Tamandua tetradactyla: one gene and its partner. The protein of the gene in region 2 purifies or fractionates together with the protein of the main gene of each other region. This does not show direct contact. Links are inferred from orthologs where the notes say so. Each region holds a gene or a part of one and is shown on either strand. Other genes may lie near its edges. The genes, in order: PSME4 and PSMB2.

Evidence for each region.
Region 1: the proteins of PSMB2 (region 2) and PSME4 purify together in Homo sapiens (affinity purification with mass spectrometry; 3 studies listed by BioGRID and IntAct, counting the BioPlex papers as one, with this or other methods). This does not show direct contact. The link is inferred for Tamandua tetradactyla from reciprocal best matches to the Homo sapiens genes PSMB2 and PSME4.

What each region holds. Positions count from the first base shown.
Region 1 is NC_135343.1:26,260,757-26,273,209, forward strand, and holds the start of PSME4 (proteasome activator complex subunit 4), read right to left. Parts: upstream 5,158-12,453; 5' UTR 5,143-5,157; coding exon 4,901-5,142; intron 1-4,900. UniProt on the Homo sapiens protein: Associated component of the proteasome that specifically recognizes acetylated histones and promotes ATP- and ubiquitin-independent degradation of core histones during spermatogenesis and DNA damage response.
Region 2 is NC_135328.1:189,729,968-189,741,555, reverse strand, and holds the start of PSMB2 (proteasome subunit beta type-2), read right to left. Parts: upstream 5,562-11,588; 5' UTR 5,436-5,561; coding exon 5,345-5,435; intron 1-5,344. UniProt on the Homo sapiens protein: Non-catalytic component of the 20S core proteasome complex involved in the proteolytic degradation of most intracellular proteins. This complex plays numerous essential roles within the cell by associating with different regulatory particles.

The DNA of each region.
Region 1 (12,453 bases), on a different chromosome or scaffold from region 2:
TGAGTAACAAAAGAGGTTCTCTTGGGGGGGGGGTGACTCTTAGGCCTAATTTTAAGTAGGCTTAGCCTACCCTTGGCAGGGTGTTAAGTTTCATATGAACAAACCCCAAGATTTGGGGCTCAGCCTACTGCTCTAGTTGTCCCCACTGCTTGTGAGAATATCAAGAATTCTCCACTTGGGGAAGCTAAATTTTTCCCCTCTCTCACCATTCCCTCAAGGGGACTTTGCAAATACTTTTTTATTCACTGTTCAAATCACTCTGGGATTTATTGGGGCATCACTCTGGACAACCCTACAATCTCATGCCCTACTCAAGGTTCCATGTACTATGAACACTGGAAATATTTACAAATGAAGTTACAATTGTTAAAAAATGGTGGGGATGAGGTGGAGTGAGATAATGGAAGAAACAAGATTGACCATGAGTTGATAACTGTTGAAGACAGGTGATGGGTACATGAGGATTCATTATAGTCTGTCTTCTTTGTATATGTTTGATATTTTCCATAATAAAAAATGTTTAAAACAAAAAACTAAATAAATGGTATTAGAAAACTGTTCAAATAAGAATCACACATTTACCCACTGACAAGATTCTGGCAAAAATAGCCAATGAATTATTAAAAAGTAACTAGTGAGGCATAAATTGATAAGATATTTTAAAAGAATGATTAAAGGTAGGCCATGGAGGCTCATCAAGCAGAGTTCTTGCATGCCATGTCAGAGACCCGAGTTCGATTCCTGATGCTTGCCCATGTTAAAAAAAAAAAAAAAAAAAAAGAATGATTAAGAGGGGTTCTTGCAAATTGATATTATTTTGATAAATTTTTGAAAAAAATGTGTTAGTGCTATGAAAAACCAAATAAGCAGGATACCTTATTCTATTATTACACAACTTTGTCAGAAGAATTCATGTCCCACAAAGTAATTTAATTCATTTCTTTGTTTTTTCTATGGAAAACCAACTTTTTCTGCTACAAAGAAATTTTGATCCCCATTTAAAATGTGGTTACTTAATAATGTAAATAAAGTAAATATCGTTACTTAATAATAAACTTTAACCCCTTTGGTTCTCACTGATGAATGTGATAAGTTGTCAAGATTTCAAGATTCTTTCACAAAAAAGCACTTGTATTTATTGCATACTTCAATTTCCTTACTCAAATATTAGATACCCTCAAAAGCATCACATTTCAGAACAAAGAACTGAAATTCAGCAGTTAGCATTTTGTACTTTTTCCTCCACACCAAGATGATATTAAACTGGGGACTCCTGTGGTCACTTATTACATTCCTCAAGAGGAGGTCAGTGTATTTGAGAACTCATACCTTGACTAAACTTCAGTGTCCAGTGGGTATATAATCAACTTATATGGTTTCAACTAGGATAATCCAATTTCTATCCAGGAAGGCTACATAATGTTCTTAATAATAATTAAACAACTGTGATTTCATTCTAAAGGGAACCACAATTTAATTAGTAAATGAAATGATTCCTCAGCATAATGCATTCATTTCATTATAAAACAGCACAGGCTATATAACACCTCACTGTAACAAACAGGAATGTAAATTTACTTCATATTAAACTAAAGTCACATAAAAACTTGACTAAAATCAAAATTCTGTTAAAAAAAAAAAAGAACCAAAGATAAAAATGATCATTAATGGGGTAAACTTGTAGGAAACACAGTAAAAGCCCATTCCTTTTCCTCCCTCTCCTTTCCAAACCAGTTTAAAGGAACTCAGAGCTAGATACAGAAAGGCCCTTTGGGGCCATCAAGCCCAATGACTGTTTTCAAACTGTACTTTGGAGCCCTGAGCAGACTTCAGGGATCTATCATCAGTAATGTTAAAAGAAAAATGTCAAAAAAGAAGCAAAATGTCAGTGTGTATTTAATCTAAGAAGCTCAAGTTTATGTTTACAATTTTATTTTTATAAATAAAGCAGTCCACTGTTAAATTTGAGTTTGAAATACCACTGGAAAGGTTAGGTAAGATCTTGAGTATAGACATACTGAGGTCTTGTGATCAAATGACAATAGGAGAAAACCCAAGTTTCAGGATTATCTTCTCCAACTCGCTTCATTCTTTACATGGACAAGTTACCTACCTAGACCCTTCACATAGATACCTTTTACTTACAGTACCCACTAGCTGTCTACTGCTTTCTAAAGGCCATTAATTTGTGCCTCCCTTCTCTAATTTGTGTCAACTTCTCTAATTTGTTTCCTCCCTTCTTAAAAACTGGCCCTGTGATATATTACACCACTCACTCTCTCATTAAGAGGCAGTTCTAATCCTTTAAACTACCTGTACAAGAGAACGTGTATTATTTCAAAGGCCCCATTTTTAAAATACACAGATACAACCCTTCTTCCCAGAGATGCTAAACAGACCTGCAAGAGTAAAAATGGATTGAAGCAGAATTAGTTAACTACTGAAATGGGGTAAAATGTCAAAAAAGGGGGTCAAATGTAGAACTCAATGTTAGGAGTACACTCTTCTGGTCTAATACCCAGGCCCAGAACTTCCAGAAGGGCATTTACACCCTGGTCTTTAGAAATGTACTGGATCTATGCAAGTATTTCCAGTATTTCACAAATTGCTCGAACAGTCCTTGTAGAAAGATAACCTGGCTTATTTCAGGCTTTAATGGATATAAAAATAAAATCATAGAATACTAGAGCAGGAATGGTCCTCAAGAATTATTTAGCCCAATCCTCTCATTTCACATAACTTCTACCACAGTGTTAGTGGCTGAAACTAGATCTTTTCTTCATTTCTTTAAATCACTTTATTTAAAAAGATACCATGAAACTAGATTTTATTTACATATCTCTCCATTCTTTTTAAGAGGACTAAATATAAATATGATCACCATGTCAGGTAACTGACAACTAATATCACATATCCTGGCATTATTTAGATGTAAACTTGTGCAGCACAGAGGGCTTAAAAAACAAGCACAACTATAAAAAGTTCACCTTAACATATGACGTAGGAAAAAAAAAACACACCCTAGATCACAACATGTCCCACCAAGTTCAAAATGTCACATAATGTCATCTCAAGAATCAGTTTGCAGTATTTAACCACTGTTCCAAAATAAAATTCTACATGACAGCTTTCTTGCACTTATTTAGCTTTAAATGAACAAGGGTCCATAAGAATTAAGCCATATAACTGCAATGCTGCTGTAAACTCCAAGGGCTGTCTTCACTATATTTAGCCCTTTCTAGGTAAACTGAACAAAGGAAAAACAAAGACCTCATGCTAATTTACTAAACCTAATAATGAATATTTTAGAAAACAATGTTCAACTATGCCTTCGTAGATTCTAGGTTCATAAATCCCAAACAGATATGCATTCTCATACTGGATTACTTATATATTGTACATTGAAAAGAGCTGTTCGTGTCCACAAAAATGGTATTGTCTGGGAAGTCAAACAGAATGGAAATTACTGAAGCTGACAATATAATTTTATTTTTACTATGCCTGAAAAACACAAACACCTAGGAGGCTCACTTGAATTTTAATCATTTATAAAAGATTCTTCCCATTTTGACTAAAAGTGGTTCTTCTTTCTGTTGCTTTCTTCTTTACTCCTAAATCTTCTACGGATCCTACAAACCAAACTTCTTCACGCTCTAGTCAAGAGAACGGATACCTTTTACGAACACTTTTTGAAGAGGGCAAGTTGTTTTTAGCTTTGTTTTTTAATTAAAAAGGTAAATTATTCCCATCTCCCTAAGAGGAAGGGAGAAATTTGTCACATGCACTAATAATTGGCAAATAAAAATCATTCCTTGGTGAAAACTGGAGAAGACTATTGCATTACAAAACCCTGAGTCATCACCCAGTTCACTCAGCAGATTTGGGTAAACATTGTCTAAGTTACATATCTTGTGCACTCAACCATCCATAACCTCAAGTCTGAACATACAATGTTACCATATTTTATGTACAGTTAATCAAACATGCTACAGTAATATTCTTTTTTTAAAGTTCTAACAGTGAAGAACCCCTTCTAGCGAATAAAGTCTCTAGCCTTTTCCCCCCACAGCAGTTTTTTCTAATCTCAGTGACACTATAGTTTATAGCTAGTTTATGCATTTTTAAAAAAGAAGGAAAAAGGAAGAGAATTCCAGCAAATGATTCCATCTGAGCCACTCAAAACTTAACACAAGTCTGATACTAATAACACCTTGGACAACTTGACAGCTTTCTTACCTATTTTCCTTAGCATTGTAAAGATCTTTCCAAAGGAAAAGTCACAAGGACGGTGACATACACTTACCCCAGTTCTAGACTTAAGATTAACTTCTAGTCTATGGCCCAAGGATTCGCTAAGAGCTGATTTGAAACCAATCGTTTCAACAAATCCACAAGAACTCCAACCCTCAACCCCCAAATGAAAAAGAAAAGGAACTCCGAAGTTTTCCTACGGCCTCCTTCCCATTCAGAAACTGAGAGCAGAAAGTTACTAGACGCTAACAGAGGGATAAGAGGCGGAGACCGTAGGGGAAGAAAAAACCGGGGGAAGTCAAAAGTTCCTCCCTCAAAGATGAATCCTCTCTACCTACAAGCAAAGGTCCAACGTGTACCCTCGAGGATGGCTCATCTCTTCCCCTTGGGGCACTGTGCCCTCCGGCTCTCTGGGGCCCCACAGATCAGAAGACAACAACCCGAACCCTTGGGGAGAAGCAGTTAGGGAGGACTTAGAGAGGTCCCGTAGGAGAGTGGCAGTAGGTGGTCTGGGTGTGCCCCGGCCTCCGGGGATACTGCACAGGACCACCGGCTAGAGATCGGGCAGAGATGGGGTCCAGTCGTGCGAGACCCCCGTATGCCTTCCCGCTGAGCCTTTGCCTCCAGCCCCCTTTCCGGGCACACTTACGTGGAGAGTTTCCTGGTCCAGAAGAGGCCTCCGGGCCATAGCTCTTGGAGCTGCACGGCCCGGCCCAGGTTGCTTTTGATCTGGGCCAGTTGCAAGTCGGACTCGGCGTCCAGCCGCTCCGCGTAAGGTAGCAGCTTGTTGTAGACGATCTCCTTCTGCGGAACGTAGGCCCGCGGGCAGGGCCAAGGACGCCCGCCCGGCTCCGGGGGCTCCCCGCCGCCCGCCCGCTCGGCCAGTTCCATGAGCCCAGGGACACCCCACCAGCCCCTCCCACCCTAGCCCTCCCCGACCCCCTCCCCTCTCCGGGTTCCGCCTCCTCCGCGTCGTCGTCCCCCTGCGGCCGCCGGCGGCCCGTCACCCTCGGCCCGACCGCTGGCTCCCCGCGCGGTCCCGGGTTCGTTAGCGGCGGCAGCGACAGCTCCGCCCGCCCCACACCGGCTCTGCTGGTGACGCTGCAGCCGCCGGGCCCGGAGGTTCCGGACAGACCTCTAGTCACTTCCGGGGCGGGGCGGGGCGACGGGACCGGGTCGGAGGCGGCCGCGGCGGGAGCCCGGGGGGCCGCGCCTACTCGCCACGGGCCGGGCTCTAGCCCCCACCCCCGGGCCTCACCGGCAGCGCGCGAGACCGCCCCGCCGGAAGCACGAGGTAGAATTCCAAGCTATTGTCCTGCCCCGCCCGGGCTCGCGCGCTGCTGGCGGCGGTCCTTGGGAGCCCGCAGTCGCCGTGGCCTGCGGCGAGGGAGTCGGTCTGGGTCCCCACGCTGAATTACCCCTACTTCACGGCTATATAAGAGTTTCTGGAAGCGCCTGTGTACCCTGTAACCATCTTATTTGTTACTTAGAGATTTTTACTTTGTCTCTTTTAAGCCTTCGTCTTTCTGGTCTTCCGGTAGCCATCAGTCCCGAGAAGAGAACAGTTAAGTCATTGAACGCGTCAGGCTCTCGGTTTAGGCTCTTGACAGGGAGAGTTTTAAGAGCACCTGGTTCCTGCCCTCCAGGGCCTTACAGTCAAGGAAATGTGCAATTACAAGACAGTGCTCTTAATTGCTAGGAAAGTATAGGATGCCTTGGAAACTCTGGATAGTACAAATTAGAGGGGTGTCAGGTGGGTCCTAGAGGTGATATTTAAGGTTTGCGTGCAGAATTGGTGAGGAATAAAAGGGAGAACATACATTCCAGCAGAGGGAACAGCTCAGAGGCTGCAAACCTGCACTCTGCAAATTCAGAGAAGTCAGGAATGGTTGAAGATTGCTCGCGAAAGGAGGAGCGTGGAGTAATAAGACTGAGAAGGAAATGCTAGAGAATTTGGCATTTTATCCTAAAGGCAACAAGAAGCTTTTAAAGGATCGATTTTTAGCATAGGAGTGGCATGATGTGATTTGCAGTTTAGAAGATACCCTAGCTTTGTGTGGGGAATGAATTGCAACTGGCAAGATGGTAAACTGGAGGATCCATTAAGAGTCTGTGCCATGATCTGGGTGACTTAATAATGGCCTCGATGTCAGTTGAAATTACTTTGTCAAGCTTGGTAGTTGATTGAATGTGAAGAGTGGAAAAGAAGAGACAGGGTGATGGCAAATTTCTGACTGAAGGATGTGTTCACAGGGATAGGGAACACAGGAGCAGAAGCAGGTTTAAAGACAGAAATGACAAAATGCCTATGGGATGGGTAGATATTTTGACATATGGATCAGATGGAATAAGAAATAGAGAATAGGACCCTTGACAGAACCTTGAAAAACCCTGACATTTAAAGATGGGTAGAGAAAGAGGAGGTAGCCCACAGAGAATACTCAAAAGAGCAGTCAGAGAGAGGTAGTAGGGGTTCTAGGAGAGAGACCATCAGTAAAACCAGAGTGTTTCAGATAGAGGAAGTGATCAACAGTAGCAAACAAGACTGGCAGGTCAAATGAAAAGAAACCTGAGAAGGGTTCCTTGGAGTTACTGATAAATTACATAAGAACAACTTTGTGAAATGTAGAAATGGAAACTAGATTACAGTGACAAAAGATGAATGGAAAGTAAATAAACAAAGGCAGCAAATGTGCATAATCCTTTTGAAAAGTTTGGATGGAAAGAACAGGATAAGTATAAGGATGTATCAGGAATGAAAGTGAGTTTTTGAAGGTGGGGTAAATTTACATATTGATGAAAAGGGATGAATGGAGAGAGAAAGGTAAGCTTTGTGGGTCAGGATAACAGTGGGAGGGGATGTGAAGGGGCTGGTCCTTACCAGGAAAACCAGACCGCTTTCATAGTCAGGAGGAAACACGGAAAGGATAGCTGCGGGCAGATGGAAGATTTGCAGATTTAGTGGCTGGAAGTTAAAGTACATTTCTGATGGTTTCTTTTTTTGTTTGAAGGAAGACAATGAGAGTGATAGGGAAAGTGGTGGGTAGGAGTTGTGAGGAAATTGAACAAGGGTTAGAGTAGTCTCAAAAATCAGAAAATTGATTAGAGAAACACAGTAGACTTGCTTGGCATGGAGAGGTACCTAGTTAAGGCTGGAAGCCTGAATTTACTATCATCTCTGTGTACAATCCACTTATTTTCTCCAAAAGTGTTTAATAGCCCAAGATTGTATGACTGGTATGACACAATGACAAAGGAGCAAGAGAGTGTTTTCTGTTTTGGTGGTGATAATGGAATACCACTTATTGAGCACTTTTATCTGCCAGCATATTAACTACACTGTTTTATTGAGTACTCTCTGTAAATATAGACACTTGATTTGAGAATATCTGAAAGGGAGTGATTAACATCTTAAGTTGTTTGAAGCCTTAGGAAGGAGAGAAGACTGATAGGGGAAGAATAAGGGGCCGAGGCATGGCAGATCCTGAGGAGGTAAAAGGACAATATTGAAGGATTAGTTTGAGCAAGGGATCTGAAAGAAGGGGAATGTTTAGTATTAAGATTTCAAAGCGGTTCCAGGTGAGGTCAGGTTCCTAGGAGTGGATATGTGAACTGCAAAAGTCAAAAAAGTCTTTGAAGCAAAAGAAATCAAGTCTCTCTCTACTATTTATTGTACCTGAAAGTTTAATAGAAAAGACTGTTGAAACCCCTTCTAGGTGAGAAAGTTGAAAGAACTTATGTTTCTTTGGGTCATCTAGTCTACTCATCAATGGAGACAATAACCCAGAATCTAGGGTTTTTCCTCTCAGTCCTAATACCAAGCACTTCTTATTTCTTGGAGCCCAGGATACCTCTGTCAAAGTCTAACTGCCCATAGTCCTTTCATCCAGACCTTAAAGAGAACATTGGCTTCTTATCAGACCCCTCAAGGAAGCAAAATATCATTTCCCTCTTGGAAGACCCAGAAAGTACAATACACCTTCTTGGAAAATATTCTGAAAAAAAGGTTACCCCTCAAGCTGAAGGAATTGGCAGGTGTAATTATCATTAAGTATTTGTTTTTATATTATTTAGCCATAAAAAGTAATGAAGGTATCATGTTGCGTGAAATAAGCCAGGCAGGAACAAATATTGTATGATCTCACTCACGTGAAATAATTGGAATATGCAAATTCATCAAGTCAGAAATTAGAATACAGGTTACAAGGGGCAGGACTTGAGGTAGGAAATGGGGAGACAATGTTAATCGGTACAAAATTTCTGTTAGGGGTGAAGGAAAAGCTTTGGTAACGGATGATGTTGATGATAATACAAGACTGTGAATCTAGCACCACTGAATTGTATACCTGAAAGTGCTTAAAATGGGAGATTTTCTGTTGTATAGATGTTACCACAATAAAAAAAAACAAAAAAACAGGCGTAGAACTGTTTTCCATAAGCGTGAACTCTAATATAAGCTTTGGGCTTTAGTTTATAATGTAATTATAATCATATTGATTCATCAATTAAAACAAATGTACCTACTATCTAGGACGCAATGTTTAAGAAAACTGTGTATGGGGGGGAGGTGGTATATAGAAACTACTTTTTACATGATTTTTCTGTAAAATCACAGCTGTTCTAAAAAATAAAGATATATGTTTGGTATAGTTATTGTCCCACTTCTTAATAATCCACTTAGTAGCAACTAATGGAATAAAGATATATTATTAATGTTATTTCTTCACCTGCTGTAGTTTTCCCTCTATATGATATACTTTGGGCATGGAGAAAAATTGGCAAGTGATTGAATCACTGTTGCCAGGTGCATAATCTTTAGAAATATTTGAATTATAATGACTCATTTTTCCATCTCAAATATCCACATTCTTGCTGTGTCACACATCAAAGGCACAAGAACACTGACTCTGAGAAATGTTGAGAATTTTTTTCTGATTCCTATATAATTTTCAAGTTTTGGATTTTTCATCCAAAAATCTTTCTCGTACTATCCACTTCATTTGAACTAGAGTATTTTTGGAGTTCAATTTTTAATAAGGAGAGTGGAGCTAAAGGAATGATTGTTATTATGATTATTTTATATTTTTCTCTTTATTAGGCATTTAGCCATTTTACTACAGTGTAGCTAGTACAATGTAGTGGGCTTATTTTTATTTATATTTCATGGGAAATTTATTTCTTGAATCAAAAGATTCATATACTTCATCAGTTACGCAAAATTTTCAACTGTTTACTGTCCAAAATGTCTTCCTCCCACTTCTCTTCCTGTAGAATTCTTCCTGCTAGTCATATGTTGTAACTTCTGATTCTGATTTCATATCTTTTACATATAGTTTGCAAATCTTTGTCTCTCTACCTCATTCTGGATAACTTTCTCATTCTGCTGTTAGAGCAATCTAATTGCTGAGAAGTTTATTAAGATTAAAAAATCTTAAATTGTAAGCCACCAAATTTTAACTCCAGTTAATTTCTGCTGGTCATTCTTTCTTCTGGAGTAATGTAGAATAAGGTTAGTCTCTCCATATAAAAATACTTAAAAAAAGAAAATACATGCTATGACACTTCCCTTAAGTCTTATACCTGAGATAAATATATAATTGTTTTCTTCCTTGTTCTTTGTATGACTTTGTTATCAAGCTCTTTCATCTTTTCTCACCCTTTACAGATTTTGCACTGCTGTACCCTCTACCTGGAGAGCTCTTTCCTCCCCCATACTTTTCCAGGCTAACTCTCATTCATCAGATAAACCTAGAGATAACTTTCTTTGGAAAACTTTCTCTGACCTTCTCAAAAAATGGATTAGATAGCCATCACCTCTTGGGTGGTGTGTTGACCTCTATTAGGAACTTTTCATAGTGTATTATAATTTTCCTTTTTTTCTCTATCTTTCCAATTTCTTGCTCTCTGGTAGCGAAACTTCTTAATTACTGATTCCACTCCAAAGTTTAGAAGTTAACTAATTATTTGTGGAATAATCAGAAAATCAAAGAGTGAGGAAGGATGATAAGCATCCGTTTCTCAGTTTCTTTACATATAAAATGGAATGAGTAGTAAAAATTCATTTGGTTTGATGTGTATAAAAATTAGTACTCTCATAAAAGTCTCTAATATTTAAGAAAGTTTCAGATAAATCTTGTTTATTATTGTTTGTAATCAACTAAAATTCATTTATTTTCCACATTTAAACAACAGCAACAAAAAACCCAAGTCATTTGCTGTTTCCAGGCTTAGTACCTGCTCCAAAGTTGATGCAGAGTCAATTCCCACACTTACTGCTTTGGTTTTTCCTTCCTTTTCATGTCTGACATGTAAGGATTTTCCTTTTTTGTGTGAGTTCATTTGTTGTTGTATTTATGTTCAATCCAGCATTTCTATGTAAGAGGGTTTCTGTCCTGGCTTAGGCTGCCATGCCACTGGAACTGAAAGACTCTTAAGGAATGACCTAATTCTAAAGTATCAGGCATCGTTGGAAGCAAAAGGGAGCAATTGTGAGCAATTAAGAGTTCTCCTTGAGTCCCTGAAATCATATCACAGAGGTGGCCATTGGTAATGCCTTTCTAAAAGCCAATATTTATCTAGTGATTAAAAAATAATTTATTATTTAAAAAATATTTTGTTGATATTTAAGTACAAGATTCAGTACCACTGAAGTTCGTGTTTCATTTTGACAAGCTGGGAATGATATAGTTTACAACTTCCCTTGTAATAAAAAACAGTAAAGAGATGTATATTTTAATGGCAGTTGAAAAAATTAACAATAGATGTGATAGATAATAATACACAAAGAGAATGTACACTCTATCCACCTACTCCTGGTTTTTGAGTATATAAATAGAACATGCCTTACTCATAGGCAGAGAATGGATTTTCTGCAAGTGTAATTTGAATAGGTAGCAAAACACTCACACTTGATCTGATTCTTGAAATGCTTCTGTTTGCCATCTTTGTACTAAGTAGAATCTTTTTTTGAACTTATAGACGCATAAGAGAGGCTGTATATCAAATCCTTAATTCTTTGGAGTGAATTATGTATTCATTAATTCAATAAGCATGTATTGGATGCCTCCTGTGTGCCAAGTTTGAGGTCATGAGATGAATGACACCGTATTTGTCCTCAAGGAGTTCACTGCCTAGTGAACTGACAGACATGTAAACAACTATATTAAAATTTTAACCAAACATCAACTAGGATCTCCCTACCCCTTAAGGCCTCTAGACAAAACTAATTCAAACTCCCTTCCACAGACTGGAAAATTCAGGGTCAGGCAATATTTACGGAAATTTTGGAGGATTGGATTGCTTGTATTTTTATAATCACTCCAATTTTTATAATCAGCTCCAAACTTTTGCTTATACTAAACTAGTTCCCTTGAGTGATCATCTTTATACTTAGTGAATTTTAGAAGAGACCATTAATGTCAGAAACAAGACAAGGATGCTTGTTGTTTGACACAAATTGGGCCAGATTATGCTGCGTTAATAAAAAATCTCAGAGGTTTAACATGTATTATTCCCTTATACTATATTTCATCTCAGGTTAGGAGAAGGTCCTATTTTACTTTGTCCTTACTCCAGGACCCTGGCCGTTGGAGCAGCCACTATCTGGAAAATACCCAATGAAAATGTATTCGTATGTTCACTGAAAGGCATGTACTAGAATATTCATAGCAACACTATTAAAAAGAACCCAAACAAGGAACAACCCAAATGCCTATCAACAGTAAAATGAATAAATGGATAAGTTGTGATATATTTGTAAATGAAATATCATATAGCGGTAAGAATAAAAAAGTTATAAACAGTTCAAAAACAATATTGAAACAAAAGAAGCCAGACACAAAAGAGCATCTTCTGTATGATCCCATTCATATATAAATATATATGGCTCAGAAACAGGCTGAATGAGATTTTTGTAGGTTTGGCCAGAGTGATGCCCCGATAAATCCCAGAGTGATTTGAACAGTGAATAAAAAAACATTTGCAAAGTCCCCTTAGGGAAATGGTGAGAAAGGGGGAAAATTCAACTTCCCCATGTGGAGAATTCCTTATATTCTCACAACCAGTGAGGACAGCCAAGATTGGGCCGAGCCCTCAATCTTGGGGTTTGTTTATCTGAAACTTATCCCTGCAAAGGATAAGCTACGCCTAATTAGAATTAGGCCTAAGAGTCACCCCCAGAGAACCTCTTTTGTTGCTCAGTTG
Region 2 (11,588 bases):
ATTCTGTTTCAGATATATTGCATTTCAGCAGCTTACAAACTAGAACACCAGTACTTCTAATATTTTTGATATTTAATACACCATCATTTTTGCAAGAAAATATTTAACAAATTGCATTATTTTTAAAAATCTGTTCCTTTTTTGAGGGAGAAAACTATTTACAAAAGATTTATGTCACATTTAGAAGAAAGGCTAAAATATCAGAAACTGCTTAATTTCAAATGAGACAAATAAAAGACCAAAAGTGTTTTTTAAGCATCTATTGTATAAACAGCAAGTAGTAGGGGAAATGCTAATAGCTTTCCTGAGTTGTACAGGAAACAGCCTGTGTAGCTCTAGGGAAGTTCTGGTCCTCTATAAGGAATGTACAAGATCCACAAACATGAAACAAAAGGATAAAAAAATGAACACGCGCATGTAAAGCTTTGAGAAGCCATCTGGACCCCAAAGACCTTGGTTATAATCTGAGCTCAGCATTCCAAACTTAAGACAAATTACTTGCTATCTTTAAGTCTATGTCCTAACATGTAAAACAGTCATATCACTAACCCCTGCCTAATTCACAAGTGAGGAAAACAGTAATAATTCTTATACAGGTATATTACTATACTCACTGTTACACAATGTAGTTGAGATTATATGTGTTATAGGAATTCAGAGAACAGAAAGTTCTGTGCGGGTTGGAGTACTCTGAATAATTTAAAAGCAATTCTATACAAGCCAGGAGGCAAGAGATATGAGATAAAACACATAACCAAATCAAGAGTTGTACCACTTAAATAAGCAAGCAATCTTTGGGAACAGTCTTCTCTATAGTACCAAAACATCTTACAAGACAAACTGATTCCAAGTATTATTTTCATTTTATAGTTGGAGCAAATGAGTCCCAAAATGGGACTCATTTTCAGCATTCTTGCCTACCCTGCATAAGTTCTTTCATGAAATGAAATGTGGGAGAAAGAGTCCTCATGTAATTCCAAAGCTCTATCTTAAAAATTTATGCCAGGGTAGGTGATGGTGGTACAGTGGCAGAGTTCTCGCCTGCCATGCCAGAGACCTGGATTCAATTCTGATGCCTGTCCACATAAAAAAAAAAAAAAAAAAAAAAAATTTATGCCAGAAAAGATTACAGGGATAACTAGAGAAAGCTGAGTATAAGTATTTTCAACCATTTTTCAAGAACTAATTTAAATTCTTTTCTCCATAACACAATGATCTTTCCTTTCCCTGAATATTCCCAAATACTTTTGGGATTTACTGCTGAAATCATTAATTTAAAATCTAACCTAATTAGACTTTATACCAAAAGCATAAGCACCAAAAAGAAAAAACAGATAAATGGGACCTCATCAAAACTAAAGAACTTTTATGTATCAAAGGATTTTATCATAAAAGTAAAAAAAAAAAACAAACAAACAAACAAAAAAAACAACCTACAGAACAGGAGAAAATATTTGGAAACCATATATCCAATAAGGGTTTACTATTCAGAATATTTAAAGAAGTCCTTCAATCGCAAAAAAGCCAACAACTCAATTTAAAAAATGGGTAAAACCTCCCCCTGTCTACGTGGGACATGGCTCCCAGGGGTGTGGATCTTCCTGGCAAGATGGGACAGAAATCCTAGACTCAGTATCACTGGAAGGATTGAGAAAACCTTCTCAACCAAAAGGGGGAAGAGCGAAATGAGACAAAATAAAGTGTCAATGGCTGAGAGATTCCAAACAGAGTCGAGAGGTTATCCTGGAGGTTATTCTTACACATTAAATAGATATCACCTTGTTAGTCAAGATGTAATGGAAAGGCTGGAGGGAACTGCCTGAAAATGTAGAGCTGTGTTCCAGTAGTCATGTTTCTTGAAGATGATTGTACAATGATACAGCATTCACAATGTGACTGTGTAATTGTGAAAACCTTGTTATCTGATGCTCCTTTTATCTACTTTATCAACAGACGTGTAAAACATATGGAATAAAAATAAATAATAGGGGAACAAATGTTAAAATAAATTTAGATTGAAATGCTAGTGATCAATGAAAGGGGGGATAAGGGGTATGTTATGCATGAATTTTTTTCTGTTGTCTTTTTATTTCTTTTTCTGAATGATGATCTAAGAAATGATCATGATGATGAATATGCAACTATGTGATGATATTGTGAATTACTGATTATATATGTAGAACGGAATGATCATAAGTTAAGAATGTGTGTGTTTGTTGTTACATTTTTTAAAAATTAAAAAATTAACTTAAAAAATCACTAAAAAAAAATGGGCAAAAGACTTGAATAAACATTTCTCCAAAGAAGACAGAGAAATGGCCAAAAAGCATATAAAGGATGTTCAACATCATTAGCCATTAAGGAAATGCAAATCAAAACCACAAAGAGTTACTATCTGCAGAATGGCTACTATTTTTAAAATGGAATATTACAAGTGTTGGAGAGGATGTGGAGAAATAGGAACACTCACTCATTGCTAGTGGGAATGTAAAATGATATAGCTGCTGTGGAAAACAATTTGGCAGTTCCTCAGAAAGTTAACTACAGAACTGCCATATGACCCAGCAATCCCACTTCTAGGTATACACCTAAATGAGCTGAAGCAGGGCCTCAGACAGACATTTGCACAGAGATGTTCATACCAGCATTATTCTCTATTGCCAAAAGATGGAAGCAACCCAGTGTCCATGAATCAATGAACAGATAAATAAAATGAGATATATACATACAATGGAATACTATTTAGCGGGAAAAAAAAAAGGAATGAAGTTCTGACCTGATAAAATGGATGAAACTTGAAAACATCAGGTTGAGTGAAATAAACCAGACACAAAAGGACAAATATTGTATGATCTCGCTGATTATGAAATAATTAGAAAAAGCAAATTCAGAGTCAGAAAATAGAATACAGGTTACCAATGGCCAGGGTAGAGGTAGGGAATAGGGAATTGTGCAGAATTTGTTTGGGGTGATGGAAAGGTTTTGGTAATGATTGTGGTGCTAGTAGCACAATACTATGAATGTGATTGACACCTCTGAATTGTATAATTGAATGTGGTTAAAAGGGGGAAATTTCAGGTTATAAATATGTTGCGTTAATAATGGAGGGGTATATGGGAACTCTATATTTTCTACTAAAAAAATATATATATTAAAAACTAACCTACTATGACTAATATGTCTTTTACCATATGTAATCATGGTGCAGTATTTATTGCTTTGTGTCATGCCTTGAACCCCTGCAGATATCTCATACACTGCATCCCTTACAACACCTAAAAGTACTGTGTACATAAGTAGTCTTCAAGCACGTTTTGCTTTTCAAAGTGATTGTACACACATTATTATAACAAACTTGTAAAGGTACTGATTTGGTTATTGCTCTACCTAGACACATCATCCTGCTAAAATCATTCGATTGTCAAAAGCCTTAGCATTAAAAATAACAGACAAATTTACTCTCAAACAAATATTCACTTCTTTGGAAAAACTAGTTTATAAACAAAACTTCTACAAACTAATCTTGGAATTTCATGAAGTAATTTCTTGAGGATCAATCCACAACATAGATACTTTAACAAACTACTTTTGGGATCCTCTCTCTATGTTCAGAAAGAAGCAAACACAAGCAAAGCCTCTCAGAGGGCTTTCCATCTCCCCAGGTGATGAGAGCCTGACAATCAGATGTCTGCAGCAGCAACAATGGACACTTCTTGCCTTTGTTCACGCACTTCAGGAAACTCCAGATTTAGTAATGCTTCTTTCCTCAAACCCAAGATGAACTGTCATCTGCCCTGAAAACTTTCCCTAATCTCTACAACCAGAAAGACTCTCTTCTTCCTCTGGATTACCTGAGAAATTTGAATATACTTTTCACATGACACATGACTTTCTAGACTGCGTTATAATTATTTGAAAACATATTTAAATCCCTTATCAAATTATAGTATCTTGGGTGGTGCAATGATGGCTCAGTGGCAGAATTCTCGCCTGCCATGCCAGAGATCCCGGTTTGTTTCCCAGAGCCTGCCCATGAAAAAAAAAAAAAAAAAATATATATATATATATAAAATATCTTTTAAGGTAGGGGCCACATCTTATTCTTCTTTGCATCCCTCAATACCTAGCACTGTTAACAGCCATACATACAGATGCTCAAAATTTATTTGTCAAAAGAGCATTAAACCAACTGTAACCCACACCAAACTCTGAAATCTGTTGTATAACTGTTTGTTACAATGTACTCTGAAATTCATTGTTTTTGTTTATAAGTTATTTACCACAATTTTTTAAAAAAGCGCATTAAACCATCTCTAAGACCAAGCATGATAATTTTTCAACAGTACCCATTTCTATGATCAATCATGAAAACACGATTTCACGGATCAACAATTAAAATATTTTTTAAATTATTTATTGAGTACTTACTATAGAGAGAAAGTATGATACATAGTTACAAGCAAAATGTCTGAAGTCAGATAGCACAGGTTTGAACCTGGGTTCTGCCACTTGTGACCTTGGGCAAATTTCTTCTGTGCCTCAGAACTAACATTTGTAAAATGGAGACCTAATAGTACCTGCGGCAAAGAGCTAAATGAATTAATGTAAATCGTTTAAAATACCTGGTATATAATGTGTTTAGTACTATTACTCCTAAGTATTTGTCACTGTGCTAGACATTTGCACATAAACCTATCTCACTGACTCAGTCCTCACAACAACCTGTGAGATTGGTATTACTTAATTTTACTGAGGAAGAAAATATCTGGGTACTGCGAAGCAACTCGTACAAAGTCACAAAGCAAATATATGATGGGGCTGGATTCGAGTCTCCTAAATCCACTAATTACTTAACTATAAGGATATATTAAGTGCCAGGGTCCTCAAAACTAGAAAAGGAGCATCAGAGCTGAGTCACGGGAAGATACAGGCAGCAGTAGGGAAATGCCAAACTTCTAGACCCCACAGTGTCAATGTCCCCAGCATTCCACCTTATGCTGCCTGCAAATTAACCTCCTGAGTAGCGACAATAGGAACTTTATCAGCAATTAGGGGCTCAAGGAAGTCCGGTGCCCGGCAGACGCTTAAACACTTATAAACGGAATTCCCTTAGGAAACTCTCGCTTAACAAGCCTTTAGGGAAGGCCAGTGCACAAAGCAGGAGGAGCGAATGAAAACCCCAAGGCTTGTTTACCCATCTCCACAGTTCTAAAAGATAAGGAAGTGCAGGCAGGACTAGCCCCACCTCCCTGACCTTCCTAGTACACGTACCCCAATCCCCGACGGACTCCCACCCGCAGCTCCTACACTCTGGCCCGGCCAGGCCTCCCCTGCTTCCTCTCACCGTCCTTCATCTGGACAATATTGCTGGCCGCCACCCGGTCGGAAGCAACCAGGACATAGTCGGGGCCCTGGATCCCGATAAGGTACTCCATGGTGGCGAAAGGCCAAGAGCTACAGGTTCAACAGAGCGCGGGGCTCGCGGGCTTCTTCCCCTCTCCGGTGAGACAGCAAGACACAGGCCGCGACAAGAGCCCAGCTACGGGCGCTCTCGGATGACGTACAACTGTCGCGAGAGGTTGTAAAGTGGGCGTTGCGTTAAGAGTAACTCTGAGCTGTGGTGGGTTTACGAATTCGTGTCCTTTGCCGGTGCAAGGAATAGATGTCTCTTACCAGACTCTTTTCTATAAATTAGGAATTTTAAGACTCACTTGAGGATGAAATCACTCACCATAGGTAAAATGCTGAACTCGTGGTGGGTTTCGAAAAGGGGTAGGGCCATTTACTTTTGGGGCTCAGTAAAATCTCTGGAAATCCCTTCCCTTGCAAGCTGTATTGAAGAGAAATAGAGTGAGAAAAGGCCTACTTACATTCTCCACAAAAATACTTTATAGTTCAATTAAAGATCTAAGCATTAAGACTAAATTAATAAAAACCATTGCAGAAACACTGCAAATATAAATGAGTTCTTGTATGAAGTACCTCAAAAGTATGAATTTTGTACAAAGAGTCAATAATAAAAGGTTATGGGGGAAAACCACTATTGCAAGTATGGCCTATATTTAACAGGAAGACATCAACAGTACTACAGCAATACAAGGGGTAAATAGTTGGGGTGAGGTGGGGTGAGGTGGGGTGGGGTGGGGGGGTGGGGGGGGTCCGGGGGCGTGGGTGGGAGGGTTGGGGGTCGGGGTGGGGGTGGGGTGGGGGGTGGAGAAGGACAGGAGTTAAGGGGAGGTTTGGACTTTCTGTTTGGTGAGTGCTGGTTTTAATCCGTGGTGTACCCCAGAAAACCCATGTCCTTTAATCCTCATTCAGTATGCTGGGTGGGAGCTTTTTTATTGTACCCATGGAGATGTGACTCACCCAATTTTGAGTGGTAATTTTTTATTAGATGGGTCTCATGGAAATGTGTCTCCACCCATTCAAGGTGAAGTTGCTTGCTAGAGCTCTTTAAGAGGGAACCGTTTTGGAAAAGGCTTGAGAGTCATGCAGCCAGAGACCTTTGAAAATGAAAAAAGAAAATATCCCCAGGGGAGCTTCATGAAACAAGAAGCCAGGAGAGAAAGCTAGCAGACTTTGCCATGTGCCCTCCCAGCTGAGAGAGAAACCCTGAATTTAATCGACCTTTCTTGAGTGAAAGTAACCTCTTGTTGGTATCTTAATTTGGACATTTTCACAGCCTTAGAACTGTAAACTTGCAGCTTAATAAATTCCTTTTTTAAAAGTCATTCTGTTTCTGGTATATCGCATTCTGGCAGCTTGGAAACCAGAACAGTGAGGGTGTGTTTATCTGTTATTTTTCTCTCTGGAACAATGAAAATTGTCTAAAATTGAGATTGTTGATGATTGCACAACTAAGTGAGGATACAGTGAGACATGGATTGTTTACTTTGGACATTATCCGTGATGCCCAATAGATGGAGGTAACTGAAGGATACATTGAGAAGTAGAATGGCAAAACTGTGGTATATACGTGTGATGGAATATTTTGCAGCTTCGGAAAGGAATGAAGTTGTGAGGTATGCAACGAGGTGAATGAACCTTGGGGACATTATATGGTGTGAAATAAGCCAGAAACAAAGGAACAAATAGTGTATGATCTCTTTTAGAAAATACTTATAAGAAAATTGGGACCTAGATTGTGCACTCTTATAGCAGTCACATTTAGTCTGGAGCTGTAAATGTTATTTCTAAATTTGGAGAGGCTGTGCTATATATGTATAAGCTGGTACTTGGGTACCTGTGTGACACCTAAATCTCAGAGTTGCAGTTCTGTGCTCTGAAAGTCAGCACTACTACGTAAAACAACTGTTAAAGAAACCGAAAAAGAGATCAGGCTTCAATTAGAGGTAAGAACGAAGCTGATCTGGTCAGGACTAAGTTAAATCAGAATACAGGGTAAAAGATGACATTGTCTGTATTTTAGAACTTTACCTACCGTATAAGACCAAAGGAAGAGAAGTTTATTTTGTCCAAAACTTCTGCAGCACATTATCTAATTCAATCTGTCTGGACAGCACATTTAAACAACCCAAACACATGGAGCCCAGAATGGGAATAAGAGCTTTAGTTTTGTAGAACTTAATGCAATACCCAGATACATCCCAGAGTATGTCGGGCAGATAATTCAAAAGTGTTGGCAAAGTCCCTTCAGGGACTGGAGAAAAAGTATGGAACTATTAAACTTTACCAGCTGGGAAACCCCTGATACTGTCTCAAATATTAGGGACTCCCAAATTAATAGGCCAAGCCTTTGATTTTGAGGCTTGCTGTTATGAAGCTTATTTGTGTAGCAGAGAAGCTAAGTCTACCTATAGTTTTTCCTAGGAGTTACTTCTAGAAAACCTCATTAGTTGCTCAGATGCGGCCTTTCTCTCGCTTTAAGCCCAATTCTGCATGTAAAATCATTGTCCTCCCCCCTACATGACATCCAGGGGTGAAAGCCTCCATGGCAACGTGGGACACGACTCCCAGGGATGAGCCTGGCCCTGGCACCAGGGGATGGACCAAAAGGGGAAAAAGAAATGTAATAAAATAAGGTCTCAGTGGCTAAGAGAAGTCAATTAGAATTAAGAGGTTATTCTGGAGGCTACTTTTACACAAGCTTCAGCTAGATATTGCTAATTACTACAGTTTGCCAACCCCCAACCAAAACCATTCCTGTAACCCTAAAGAATACCTAGAGCTCTGACAGTCTACAAAAGTTTCATGTACTAAGATTACTTGCCAGAAACTGACAGCCTCCAGATGATTTCTAGGCCAGATAAGTCGTGAAATGCAGAGGGGCCATCCTATCCAAGAACATCAACTAGTTCTATCCCCCTATCCCATTTTGTCACCACCCCTTTCCAACATGAAAAAGTTAGAATGGGCATAGTCCAAATACCCCAAAGACTTGGAGAACTGGGCAGCACAATGGGGGCTCAGTGGCAGAATTCTCGTCTGTCATGCCAGAAACACCTGGGTTCAGTTCCTGGAGCCTGCCCATGTAAAACAAACAAACAAACAGCAAAAAAAAAAAAACACACACACACAACTGGGACAATCACAAGAGAAGGAGGAATCATAAAAGAGAAGATACTATTTAACAAATTAATATGACTGCTGAATCATTATACTGATGCTTCTTTAGTGTCTCTAGTGTCTTGGAGCAGCTAGAAGGAAAACCTTAAATTGTGGAACTGTTTTAGTTTGCAAGCTGCTGGGATGCAATATACCTGAATTGGAACAGCTTTTCTAAAGGGAATATAATAAATTGCAAGGATTACAATTCTGAACCTATAAAAATGTCCAAACTAAGGCATCCAGTAAAAAATGACTTAATTCAAGAAAGGCCAATGGGTCTGGAACAGCTCTGTCAACTGGGAAGTCAAGTGGCATCTTCTGTTCCTTTGCTCCTGGGCTCTGTTGCTTACAGCCTCTATTCCTGTGGGGTTTCCTCACTTTGCTTCTCTGGGGCTGGCTTACATTTCTTGGCTTCCCTTGGCTCTCTCCAGCTTCTGGCTTGCTTAACATCTCATGGCAACGTCTCTAGGCCCCAAGCATCTACAAACATCCATGTCTCTGTTCTCCAAGTGTTGGCTTCTGTGTCAGTTCTGCTCTGCAGTTTCTGTTGGCTCTGTCATTTCTGAGATTTTTCCAAAATATTTCCCCTTTTAAAGCTCTAGTAAACTAATCAAGACCCACCTGGAATGGGTGGAATCACATCTCCATCTAATCAAAAGGTCACACCCACAATTGGTGTGTCTCGTTTCCATGGAGATAAGCTAATCAAAACTTTCCATCCTACAGTCTTAAATTAGAATTAAAAGAAAAGGTTGCCCCCACAAGATTGAATCAGGATTAAAACATGGTTTTTCTGGGGTACATAATATTTTCAAACCAGCACACGTACCAAACTCTGAAATCTGTTCTGTAATTACTTGTTACAACATACTTCGAAATTTATTGCTCTTTTGCATAAATGTGATATTTCAAAATAAAAAATGTTTTTAAAAAAATGGAAAAAGGGTGGGTGATGGTGGCACAGTGACAGAGTTCTCATCTGCCATATGGGATACGGCAGACCCGGGTTCAATTTCCAGTGCCTGGCCATGTAAAAAAAATGGAAGAAAACAAAGACTATTTCCATAATCTTTGGAAGGCACATATGTCTCTGACAGAAGCAGTGGAGGAAAAGGCCAATAGTTTTGACTACATAAAATCACATGTCATTATAATGTTCAAAGATAAATATAAATTGAGGATATTTATCAATGTATTAAGTAGTTAATATCCATAAGTTAACAATACTGTGTAGACAATGCTTAGATGAAGAAACATGGCCTTTCATACCTTCAGTGTGCAGCAAATCTGTTTACATTCCTAGATAAATAACAAAACAGCATTAGATTTTCTTTTGGGCAATGAAGGGAGAATCTAGGCCACTGCTAACATTTCAAATTGCACGTAGGTTAATACTACAGGCGAAATGGAACAATCTACATACACCTAAACTAAAAGAATAGCAAATCTGGTAGACCCAAGTTATTGTTTAAACATGTTTTCTTGATTAGGACTGAGAAATCTTGGGTCGTATTTCCATAGTGCTTTCCAAACTCATAATATTTACAGTTATTCTTGATATTTATTGTCTAGAGTTTTAAATTCATTTACATGGATTAAATCATGTTGATTAACGTGAAAAAAAATCAGTCCTTTGCAAATAAAGCTTCATCTTCAAAGAAACAACAATGGTAAATATCTGAATAATTCTTGCTGGTTTCTTTTGTAGTTTTAGATAAGTGAAGCCTGTAAAAGAATTGAGACTTTAAAAGTTTCCATATTTTTATGAAGAGACAGATTGTTCTGAAGCCACAGTATCAAACTGGACTCCTTTTTAAACCTATGAAATCAATAAAAGACACTTCTACACCCGTGGTAACAAACAGTCACCAGAATCTGTTTTAAACCCTTTTAAACCAATCGGCAACAACTCACATCAGTGAACATGCTTTTGCAAGTCAACCATTCAGAAACCAGGAGCTGGTTTCTGAAAGTCAGCCAGTCAAGATTTGATGCATCTTAATGAATATCCTTCTGAATACTAACCAATGAACAGTCTCACCCAAGTAACCGTACTTCTAAAGATTGTGTCAACCCACTTATACCTTTGAAAACTCACCAATCTCTGAATTTCATGCTTTCTTAACACTCTGTTTTAGATTAACTCTGTTTAAGATTGCTCTGCTTAGAGAACTTGTGCCTGACCAGTATATATTTAAGTAGTAATAAACTAAACCTTGCAATTTTCATTTTATATATATAAATAGTCTCATCTATTGACATATGGAAGTCGGCTAACAACTTCAGGTTGCAGTATAAGCATCCTTCCACTTAGGTCATGTGACCCAGCTGATTGCATGTTACTAGTGGTGTCAATGGCAGAGAACAATGAAACATGGAACTTCTGGCAGTGACCAATGGGAGAATTGCAACACAGACCCCCTGAATTCTGAAACAAGGCCATAGCATCCTGGTAGAAACAGAGTGTCTGATCACAGGACTTCAAATGACCAAGTGGCTTAAACTTCCAAATATGAATTGGGTTCTATCAAAGCCATCACGTTACAACATCAGGTGAGCCCAGCTGTAATCCATCATTAAACGAAGATGGTACATCTGGGATCAAAAGGGCATAAGTAAACTTCATGAACAACTTGGCAGGAGTAATTGACCTAATCATTAGGAAAAGATAAGTCTGCTGATACATAAGGAGGACAGGGGGAATATGTTTGACACGCAAGTGTTTCACTGGGGAATCTCTTGTATTCCCATGTCCAGTTGAACTTTAAATAGGCAATTACAGAAACCATGACCTGGGCTAAGGGTCTGGTGACCGGGAGACTGGACTCCATGGAAATGATCATCTGGGTCAACTCGCCAGGCAAGCCAAAGGTATGAGGGATCTAATATGAGTGGTGGGAGAGGTTGCTGATGAACATTGGTTACAGCTCAAAGGCGATAGTTCATTCCAGTAACCCTCCACTTCCTCAGACATTTTGACCAACCATAATCCTGGAGAAATTGTACCTAAACAGTGAATT